Arabidopsis thaliana: one gene and its partner. The protein of the gene in region 2 interacts with the protein of the main gene of each other region in a pairwise test. Each region holds a gene or a part of one and is shown on either strand. Other genes may lie near its edges. The genes, in order: SNI1 and LOL1.

Region 1 (5,146 bases), on a different chromosome or scaffold from region 2:
CTTTATTATTCATATACCATTTGATTAGAGAAAGGTTTAGCTTGTGGTTTATGTACTGAGGTTTGTTTTCTTTGCTTGCCCTGGTCTTTGGATCATGTGTGTTAATACAGTTAGTCAATTCACATTATACGGATTCTTGAAAGGTAACAAACCAGATTTTCATGTCGCAATGCCACCTGATAAAGCGAAACCTTTTTACGCCTCTTTAGTTGAGAAATTCCAGAAAGCATATAATCCTGATGCTGTCAAAGGTCAAAACACACTCTCATTGATCTTTTCTTAATCAAAACTTCTCATTTTCTCTAGTCTTCTTGACTAAATTGGTTCTCTTTTTTAAAATACAGATGGTGTGTTTGGAGCTATGATGCAGGTAAGGAGATAACTCCTTTCAATAGCAAGGTTTGATTAGTATCTTGTGTGATTAAAACATGTTCTCTAATCATATTCAAAGGTCAATCTTGTAAACGATGGTCCGGTCACGATGCAGCTCGACTCACCTCAATCCACCAAGTAAGCCAAGATTGTTTTGCATAAACTTATCAGGCATGGATTTGTTACTAAAGCAAGTCTTGATATGTTCCATAAGTGAGAAAAAGGCATCAACAGAATCATAAGATCACTCATTTTGTATTGGCAAAACTATAGAATATATAAATTCATAATTCATTGATCTGTAACTCTTAATTCCTACATTACATTGTAACTTCTTTGCTTCTAATCCAATTGAAGTCTCTAGATTTGTTAAAATCTTGATTCCTAGATGCTTTAAGCTTTTGCCTTGAGTACCATTCCTGCAGTAAACAACACTTCTTTCCCAAACGGTAGAATCTCGATTTTCCTATAACAACCATTAAACTTTCGGTTGGACAAAGGAAAGCGGTATAGTATCTCGATTGCACAAAGAGAAAAAAAACTGAGAGTGAAAGAAACTGCAGCTTACTGATCTACTCGCTTTAGACTAGTAAATGCAGAGATGATACTACTGCATATCTCTGAAATAGAGTCTCCTTCGTGAGGGTCAGAGAATGTAAGCCGAGCCTGACGAATAGTTAAATACATTAGGAGGCCAAAAAAAGCTCTGAGAACGTGAAAGAAGAAACAAAGGTATTATTGTGTTACCAGAAAGGCATGGCCGATGAGGATCTGAACAATGTCAGGTCCTATCTTTTTAGTGATGTTCTTTGGATTTGTGCCATTTGAAAACGTCTTCAAGATCCCATTTAGTGTTTTCGAATCCTCTGCTTGAGGAACAGTTGTTCTTCGGGTACGTACAACAGGCTACAACATGAAAGAAATTTGGTCAGAGAGAGAAATCAGAGAAATAACTATATATTGTACATCATTTGTTGGAGAAGATAATCAGAGAGCGAGAGATCAGAGAATTAACAACAAACCTTAGGAATGTATTTAGTAAGGTATTGGAGAACAATCTCTAGCTTCCATTTAGGATCATCGAAAACCTGATTAAGAAATTTTCACTCAAGAACCACAGAGAGAAGAATTTTACAGACCACAGTGAGTTTCAGAAGTGGTTTGTCTCTTACCTGAAGAAATTTTGACAGCAAGTATCCATCATAAGTCAGCTCGTCGAGAATGATCTCCATTGCAGGGGTCCTGCATCAAATTGGATCACAAACATGGAGAAAACACAATTCAAAAGTGAGGCAGAAACTCATTACCTTACGCCATCTCCTCTAGAGGTAATCCCTTCTAAGTCAGCTTTCTTCTTTGATGTATCAAGCTCCATGATCTAAACAAGGAACAGAAACGTAAGAGCAAAAAGCTCCGAAAATTGAAACACTAATACTCTGGTAACCGAAAACTTACCATTACTAGAAGTTCTTTCATAGCAGTAAGCATGTCCTTGTGCAATTCTACCAAACTGATAGACTTTTCATCAGCATCAATGGATGCACACATTGTTGATAGATAATCTTTCATTAGAAGTTTGAAATTCACTTTTCTTGAAGCCTACAAGCAGAACCATAACATTAAAAATCACAAATAAATTACTATACTAGTTTCTGAGCCATTGATTGTGGGATGTACCAGAAGTAGATTCAGAAAAGATTCCTTTAAGAGACTCCAGTTCATAGTTTCTGGAGCACAAAAGGACACAAAAAGTTCTAAGAATTTCCCCAAACTTAACAAGATAAAGAGAAATCTTAAAACTATGAAGACATAATCTATACCTTCATACACTTGATTTCGGGGTGTGAAATCTAGCTTAAGAACATGAGCAAGATACTTGAACAGAAACATATTTCCAAGGATCTGCAGAAATCCAAACAAAAGAATCAAATAACAACAAGTTGTGTGAAAGTCTACCAATTTTTAAAGCTTATCTGCAACATAACAAATAAATCAACCTTTAAATCTGATTCCTCAGACTCATTAACTCTTTTGTTCATGTTCTGAATCAGCTGTTGCAAAACTGAAATCATAAAACAAACAAAAAATCATATTTAGCAAGAACCAACAAAAAGCTAACTCAAAAAGAGAAGACAAACGTCCTTACATAAGCTTCTCACTGATAAATCCTTTTCATCAGAATCAACATCAGACCCGAAATTAAACGGTGACCAAGCCTGCAAAACAAAACCATAAACAAACACATGAAATCAACCATCCCCACCATAACAAAGAATGAACAAAAACACATCAAAACTTTTGTAACAAGTACCTCGTCAACGATGTCCAACTGATCAGCTGAATCAGATACATAAACCCAAGGAAACCGCTGAAACAAAACATAATCATAATAAGCAAAACACTGAAACCTCATAAAAGTTATTGGACAAATTACACTACCAAAATCTTGCAACAAGTACCTGATGTAATTGAGTCAAAAGCTGGAAACTTGCTGTGATAAGTTCCAATGTTTTACCAAATCTCAATATCCTGAAAATCGCTTGGTACATTTTGCTTCAAAATTAAACAAAACCCAAATCAAAATCAGTACTCTTTTAGAGGTAAAAACTTCAAATTTCTTAGAAAAACAGAGTTTTTTATTTTTTACTTGGTTGGAGGAATTCCATTTTCGGGTACAAGTGAAGCAGCACGAACAGCTTCCAGATACTGCAAACCTAAGGTTTTTCATTCAAAGGATCAATACAATTAACAAAAACAAAGACGAAGATTGAAAATTGAGGAAACGTACGATCTTCGTTAGCGTCGCGACTGTCTTTAGCTCCGGTGGAATCAATCATAGCCAAGGTGTTAGCTTCCAAGCTACCGCCATAGCCACTCATCACTCTGCTTGTATTGTTATTACCCTTCGTCTCTTTCGACATCTTCTCTTTCACAATTTCACTAATTTCTTCTCAGCAGCACCAAAGAAGAAAACGAGAAGGAGAGATTGAAATCTTAATCCGAAATTAGAACGGAGAAAGATTTGTAGAAACCCTAATTCTCGACAGAAGTCAATTTTCCCGCCATAAGAGAATTGTTAGCAAAAAATAAATCACTTACTGGAATTTGAACCCGGCCCTCGAAGGTTAGAAGTTTGAACTTAGAACCAATAGAGACAATATTAGTTGGTTATAATAATTCATAAAAATATATATAATTTTTTTTTTGTAGTAAGTCTTCTTTTTCTTTAATACCGAGTGGTTCTGAATCAAAACTCAGAATACTTTCAGGCCCGAAATCATAACAGGTAATGTTAGTTCCGTTCCAAGCATCAATTAAAATCTTTTCTATATTGTAGTTTTTTTTTTAATCAATTTTGAAAATGCTTTTTGTGATTTGGATTCAGATTAAGTTTAGACTTGTGATTACAGAATTGGAAATTTTATACACATGACTTGTAGTGTGTTTATGAAGCTCGCTAGACTTATGAAGCTCTCGAGATTGAATACCAAAATTTAACAAATGACTACCTTAAGATAGAACCATTGCAACAATCTTTAATGCTCGAACAAAACACCTTTCTAATCGAAACGCTCTAGCACGCTTGGAGTCTCTCCAACACGAGACTTTCTTGAACTATATATGTGCCAAAGCAAGAAACTCTCGTAGTGGAGAACGAATGAATGAATCTTAAACGATTGATATAAAAATTAGCAGATAGTTTTTTAATATTAGCTGATACGTACTTGAGGTGACTTGAACCTACCATATAAAGTATCTCTAGCTCATTCTCTATAATACATTGAATAGAGATATTAATCTCTTTTTCATTTTTTTTCAATTGTAAGCTATGTTTCAAAGCGTGTGGAATTTATATATTCTATTCACCTCTCATCATTGTTTCAAATCTTTGGACTTACGGAAAATGATCTCATACAAATAATACTTGGATAAAAAGTTAGTGATGACTTAGCCCTTACATGTTTTTTCTTATTTCGTTTCACATTTTGATAGCGTTTAGTTATCATTATATTATATTCTCTAGGCAATATGCGTTAAACTGTGATCGTATGGTAAAATAATAACTTCTAACAAACTTAACTAAACACCGAAGAATTCTTTATCGATGTATGAAAAGCTAAATCAGTATTAAGGTTCATCAATCTAACAGTAGAAACAAGTCATTTAGAAGCTATATTTCTTTTTATAACCAAAAAAATAGTTAAAAAGTTTTTTAAAATGCGACGAGCGTGGAACGAAACATTAAAACAATAAACTTATGTTTGATTTAATAATCACAATTCTCCAAAACGGATTTGTGCCTCTGGTGGGAACACGTCATAGATTCTCATGAAGCGTTAAACTGAAGATTAATATGTTTATTATACAAAAGTGAATTAATACTCTGCATCTAGTCCTTTTCAAGAGTACACAATCTGCACTTTTTTAATGAAAATAGTACACAATCTTTATACTTCAAACTGAGGTAACATTATTAAATTAATTTATTGAAGTTGACTTAAGATGATCTATTCACATAATGGTACGTGTGTGTGTGTATACACAGAAAACCCCTGATTTTATGTGGAACCTAAAACCCTCCATGAAATGCGGTCAGTACCTTAGAACACAAGTTTCACCAACTGTACTTCCCAATTATCCTGCCGCAGATTTCCCATTCAACGTACACACAAAACCCCCAAAGCAACAATCTCTTTAAAATGCCCTAAATCTCACCAACACATACTCCTCTCTGATTCAACAATGGCTTTTGGCAATATCCAAGAACTAGACG
Region 2 (4,989 bases):
TATCTATAAGCTTAGTAGCATTTTGGTTAATTCAGATTAATTGACTAGTCCAAAGTAAATCAAGAGATATCTATTTCAAAGTCACATGGATCTTCTTCTACGTAGAACATCAGACAAAGAAAACGAAATTAAATCTTATCCTTAAATAAATCTCCAAGCAAAATGTTCAAATATATCTATGTCAAGAATCTTGCCGTGATCCAAAGAAACGAAAAGACATGCGAAAGACACTTAAACCAACCAAAGATCAAATCATAGATGAACCCGTGAGTGAAGTCTACCCCAATTATCCATAGACAGATTGCGTGGAATTATTCAGACTTTAGTCAATATCGAGGGACAAAACCTTTTCGGGTTCTGTTTTATTTATTACATATTCGTCCCATTGTTTTGTTGTATCACGATTAAGTTTTGTTTGGTTTATATACTTATTAGAATGTCCCACATCTATAATTCTACTCTAATATATAAGGTTTATTGATCTCTTCATTCCAAACCACATTCTAATAATACTTTATAGTTTTTTTGGTTCAACAATTTATTTTTGAGACTATCAAGTATAAAGGTTTCTTACATGTATTTTCATTTGTAAGTTCACTTTACATTTCCAAATTTTCTTAGCATATATATTTTGATGAACTTACAAATGAAAATTGTCACCGACGTCCTTTGTGCTTTAAAATGCTTGAAAAGGATCGGAGTATGCATAAGCATTTAAAACAATCTATTTTTTTCATGCATAAAAAGTCTAGCTTTGATTTCTGAATCACTCTTACAAACTGGTGAATCAAATTTTTCTTAAGAGAACAAAACAAAAACCAAAGAAGAGAGATAGCTCTATACAAACGGACAAAGAGACCAAAGTCAGAAATTTCGACGAATTACATATTTCATTTACTTCCGAAAATGGTTTCAAACTCATCACTGCCGGATTCTTGATCGAAGAGAGAGTGAAAAAGATTTGATGCTTCCTCTATATTGCTCATAACTCAATATGTATTGATAGGTAGATAGATCCAAGTTTTAATTGTTAAACTTCGAATCAGTCGTGCTCGTTGAACCCTACAAGCAATTATCAAAACAATAGCAACCAAAAATAAAACATTATATAAAGAAACGTTCTGATGTTAAAAAAAAAAGAGAAGTAATTTTGTTAGTTTGCGACTGATTTAAAACCGATCTTTTTGGATAAAGAAAGAGAACTAACCCCAACAGATGTGACAAAGTTACAAACGGCACATTTCACTGATCTTGCTCCATATTGATACATTAGTAGCATCATGCAGTTTCCGCAATTCACATGCGCTACTTGGTTTGCTGATTACATTTGCAAGACATGAAAGTTATTAATACACTTAAAACCGAAATGTTTTAACAACCTAAACCTAAACATAAACAAGACCTGCAAAATAAATCCAAAATTCGGTTTAATTATCTTATATCTCAAAATCGAAACTAAACTAGACCCACACATATATAAACAAACCTAGTTTTATTGTTTTATCATAAAAACCAAAACTCAATATAATTTATTGTAAAAAGTATTTTTGAATAAAAACACATAATAAACTAAGCAGAACATATAATAAAATATTTTTTCCTAGTTTGCAATATAATCTGAGTTTAAATCCTTACAATACATATTGTCGATAAACGACAACATGTAATAAATTTGTAATATATAACGACCTCGATCGTAAAAATTAAAAATATTTTCATTTTGGATTTGGTTTCTTGTATATATTCCCTAAACCACAACCCAAACAAAAACAGTCAATAAAAATCTGATTAAACACCAAATATAAAGATCGATGTTTTTTGTTTAATAAGTAATATATAAAGATCAATATGCATGTAAACCTTCGAGGGCGAGATTAACAGTGTGACAACAAGAACATTGAACACTTGTAGCTCCACGAATGTACATTAAGAGTGTATGACATCCTCCACATACCAACTGTGCCATCTCCGTTCCTGCATTGCCCAATCAGTTATTACAAAACTCAAAGATCTCTTTAAGACTTTAACCAAACTCTTTTGTTATGGTTTAAAGGATTTTACCGGGCGGAGGAACGGCCGTGACGGCGTTACAGACGGCGCAACAGACGGAGGTTGCTCCGACGGGATACATCAGAAGGTTTCTGCAACCTGAACACACTAACTGGCTCTGCCCACTTGTACTTCCTACAAATCTCAAGTTGTTTTTATTTATTTTTTTAACCAAAAAAAGTACATTCAAATGGATTATGAACACATGTGAAATAAATAAATGTGGTTCTGGGAAAATAATTGAGCAATTTTTTCCCATGAAGAGTAAAACAAATTGGGAATCTGAAAATATTTGATTTTTCCAAGTATGCATGACCAAAAACAATCTTGTTTAATAAAGCCAAAAAATCAATCTTATAAGAAACTAAAACTTTTGTAAAAGAATATGAAAACAGAGGATCTTTTTGGATTAAAAATAGCTTGTCCATTTAAGAAAGATTTTACCATTTGCCGGAGGAGTGTTGTACGACGGAGCCAGTGCCGGTGCCGGAGGTGTTGGATATGGTGCAAGAGGGACTGGCATTATTCACTCCAAGAAGAATTGCAATATTTTTTTGGATAAATCTCTTCTCTCAATCTCTCTATTATATAATAATGGCTTCTCCTCTTTGTTGATTTTGTTAGTGACTTAGAAGAAGAAGACACATCCTGTGTTCTTCATTTCTTCTCCCATTTCCTCACTTTCATCAATCTATACTAGCAAAGAAAATAAATCTAATAATTCTTCTTAGGAAGGAAATAAATTATTTTTTAAGAGGAATATAAATCTTGACTATTTTAGAAAATGAAGATAAGTCTTAACTATTTATAAAAGGAAAAAAATTCAATGTTTGAAACTTAAGAAACATGTGAAGACTAACTTTGGGGTCACACCATTGCCATGAAGCTCTTTGACTAGAGACTAATTGTAGAATCTCGTTTCGATATTTTTTTTGCAGTTACATAACGTTTGGGTGTATATGTGTGTGTTTGTATATGTGTATGTATTGGGACTTGGAAAAAAGGAATGTGAATTGCGAAAACTTCGAAGATTGTATTATTATGACATTATGTGAGGAGTGGGGCAAACACACACCCTCTTTTGCAACTTGCCTTTATCAGTTAAATAGAGGGTATATTAATGAAAAATTGAAATAAAAAAAAAGAAAAACAAAAAAACAAGTTTTTTTTTTGAGAATCTGAAGTTCTAGTGGCAAAATAGGCAAATTTCTTGAGAAAAAGTATATTTTCTTGTAAAAGGTTATACTTTTTCCTTGTAATAAACAAATACTGATATGATTTTTTTTTAAATCTTCCTTAAATTTTGTTTGTAGACAAAAATATTTACAGAAATCACATTTAAACTTAATAATTTATATGTAATATAGTTTTATCATATATGTGATAACGGTGTCGCTTTGTCATTACTCAGGTTCATATCCGCATAGTGAATATGTAGAATTGGTCTTCTAGACATGTTTATTATACAAATATACACCACTTAATTAGAAGGGGTTGCACTTAAACTAAACTAATATAGTATAGAAAAACACATATTAGAATAAAAAAAAAAAAAACAATTTTAACTTACTTATTAATTATTGCTAGAAAAAAATTGCTTATTATTATTTAAAAGTCTTGAATTAACTTTATAATAAGAAAATAAATTATTTCTTAGAGTTTTTACCAATATTATATAAAAACTTAATTATAAATGAATCATTTTCTGTTCTAAATAACTTCCTATAACTCTAAACTAATAGTAAGTTTATAAATTCATTTTTCAATCTATATTTTTGAAAGTCAACAATTTTTTATTACTTTTGTTTTGGACGACAGACAATTGGTAAATACTAAAAATTATAAAATACATAGAAAACTTACAAAATCTATCTTTAAGTAACAAAAAAAACTCTAGAAATATTATTTTTCTGAATTATGAGAAGTATTTTTTCACGATTTAAACGTGAGTTATCTTTTTATTTTTAAAGATATCTTGAAAATTAAGTATTGCTTTTTAATGCATATTATTGATCCATGGGACTCTTACATGTAAATGGATATGTTACGATGATATTTTAATTTAATATACTATAAACGATAATCGCTCGTCGACAAAAAAGATGAGCACGGAAGTTAAACTTTCACCTTTCTGCAAAAGTTGAGTTTAATAGACATGTTTGTTAATATATATATAAAAATACTGTAAACTCTGATCAAATTAGTACAATATTTTTCAGTTATCATATTCAATATTTTTTCTCTTATCAAATACATCACATTTGTTAAACTATCTCACGTAAGAAATAGGTATGCTTTTTTTTTTTTTTGATCAAAGAAGAAATAGGTATGCTAAGTTAATAAAAAAAACAATATTTGCCATAAATCCAAATTATCAAGGGCCAGACTGAGGCAACAAATAAAATAAAACTTACTATGGGTCATGCACACAGGAAATTCAGTTACCCAATCAGGGGAAATTTAGTTTCTCTCTCTTTTGTTGTTGTACCAAACCGACAATTTATTGTTTGGCAGTTCACTCAATTCTATAGGCTAAATCATAAACGTGAACTTTTATGTGCATATACACATATGAAAGATATAAACATGGGTAAGGGTAACAATAACTGTGATTATTAGGTTGGATTTCATATCGAGAGCAGCTTTAGTTTTGGTTTGCGGTTGTCTAATTATTTGATGGGGCCAATTTCTATAATGCCAATTTCTATATTGTCTTTCTTTTTTCTTATTCTTCTTTATTATTTTGTTATGTCAACTACACTTCACATGTGACATGGTGTGAGTCACGATCTCCATCGTAAAATCTTCTTTTGTTTTCTTATGGATGCATGTATATAATCTACGAAGTATCAAAATACTCTATCTCGCTCAATTCAACTTAGCTCGTAATGAATTCAGATATTTCATGAACTAGCTAAGCTCAACTCATTTACTATATGA

Evidence for each region.
Region 1: the proteins of LOL1 (region 2) and SNI1 interact in a two-hybrid assay, tested with the Arabidopsis thaliana proteins (one large-scale study listed by BioGRID).

The regions. Positions count from the first base shown.
Region 1 is NC_003075.7:10,191,131-10,196,276, reverse strand, and holds SNI1 (negative regulator of systemic acquired resistance (SNI1)), read right to left. Parts: upstream 3,369-5,146; 5' UTR 3,294-3,368; coding exon 3,161-3,293; intron 3,087-3,160; coding exon 3,020-3,086; intron 2,926-3,019; coding exon 2,832-2,925; intron 2,741-2,831; coding exon 2,684-2,740; intron 2,589-2,683; coding exon 2,519-2,588; intron 2,435-2,518; coding exon 2,370-2,434; intron 2,275-2,369; coding exon 2,193-2,274; intron 2,100-2,192; coding exon 2,050-2,099; intron 1,972-2,049; coding exon 1,828-1,971; intron 1,751-1,827; coding exon 1,680-1,750; intron 1,615-1,679; coding exon 1,545-1,614; intron 1,461-1,544; coding exon 1,395-1,460; intron 1,279-1,394; coding exon 1,120-1,278; intron 1,039-1,119; coding exon 941-1,038; intron 839-940; coding exon 766-838; 3' UTR 615-765; downstream 1-614. Other genes in the region: AT4G18460 (D-Tyr-tRNA(Tyr) deacylase family protein), read left to right, coding at 111-251, 345-370, 452-514; AT4G18450 (Integrase-type DNA-binding superfamily protein), read left to right, coding at 5,116-5,146. UniProt on the Arabidopsis thaliana protein: Component of the SMC5-SMC6 complex, a complex involved in repair of DNA double-strand breaks by homologous recombination.
Region 2 is NC_003070.9:11,765,626-11,770,614, reverse strand, and holds LOL1 (lsd one like 1), read right to left. Parts: upstream 3,131-4,989; 5' UTR 2,573-3,130; coding exon of another isoform or gene 2,494-2,572; 5' UTR 2,363-2,493; coding exon 2,062-2,362; intron 1,975-2,061; coding exon 1,861-1,974; coding exon of another isoform or gene 1,844-1,860; exon of another isoform or gene 1,318-1,843; coding exon 1,208-1,317; coding exon of another isoform or gene 1,154-1,207; exon of another isoform or gene 1,063-1,153; coding exon 1,024-1,062; 3' UTR 566-1,023; downstream 1-565. UniProt on the Arabidopsis thaliana protein: Positive regulator of reactive oxygen-induced cell death. May be involved in the repression of the copper/zinc superoxide dismutase CSD1 and CSD2 that detoxify accumulating superoxide before the reactive oxygen species (ROS) can trigger a cell death cascade.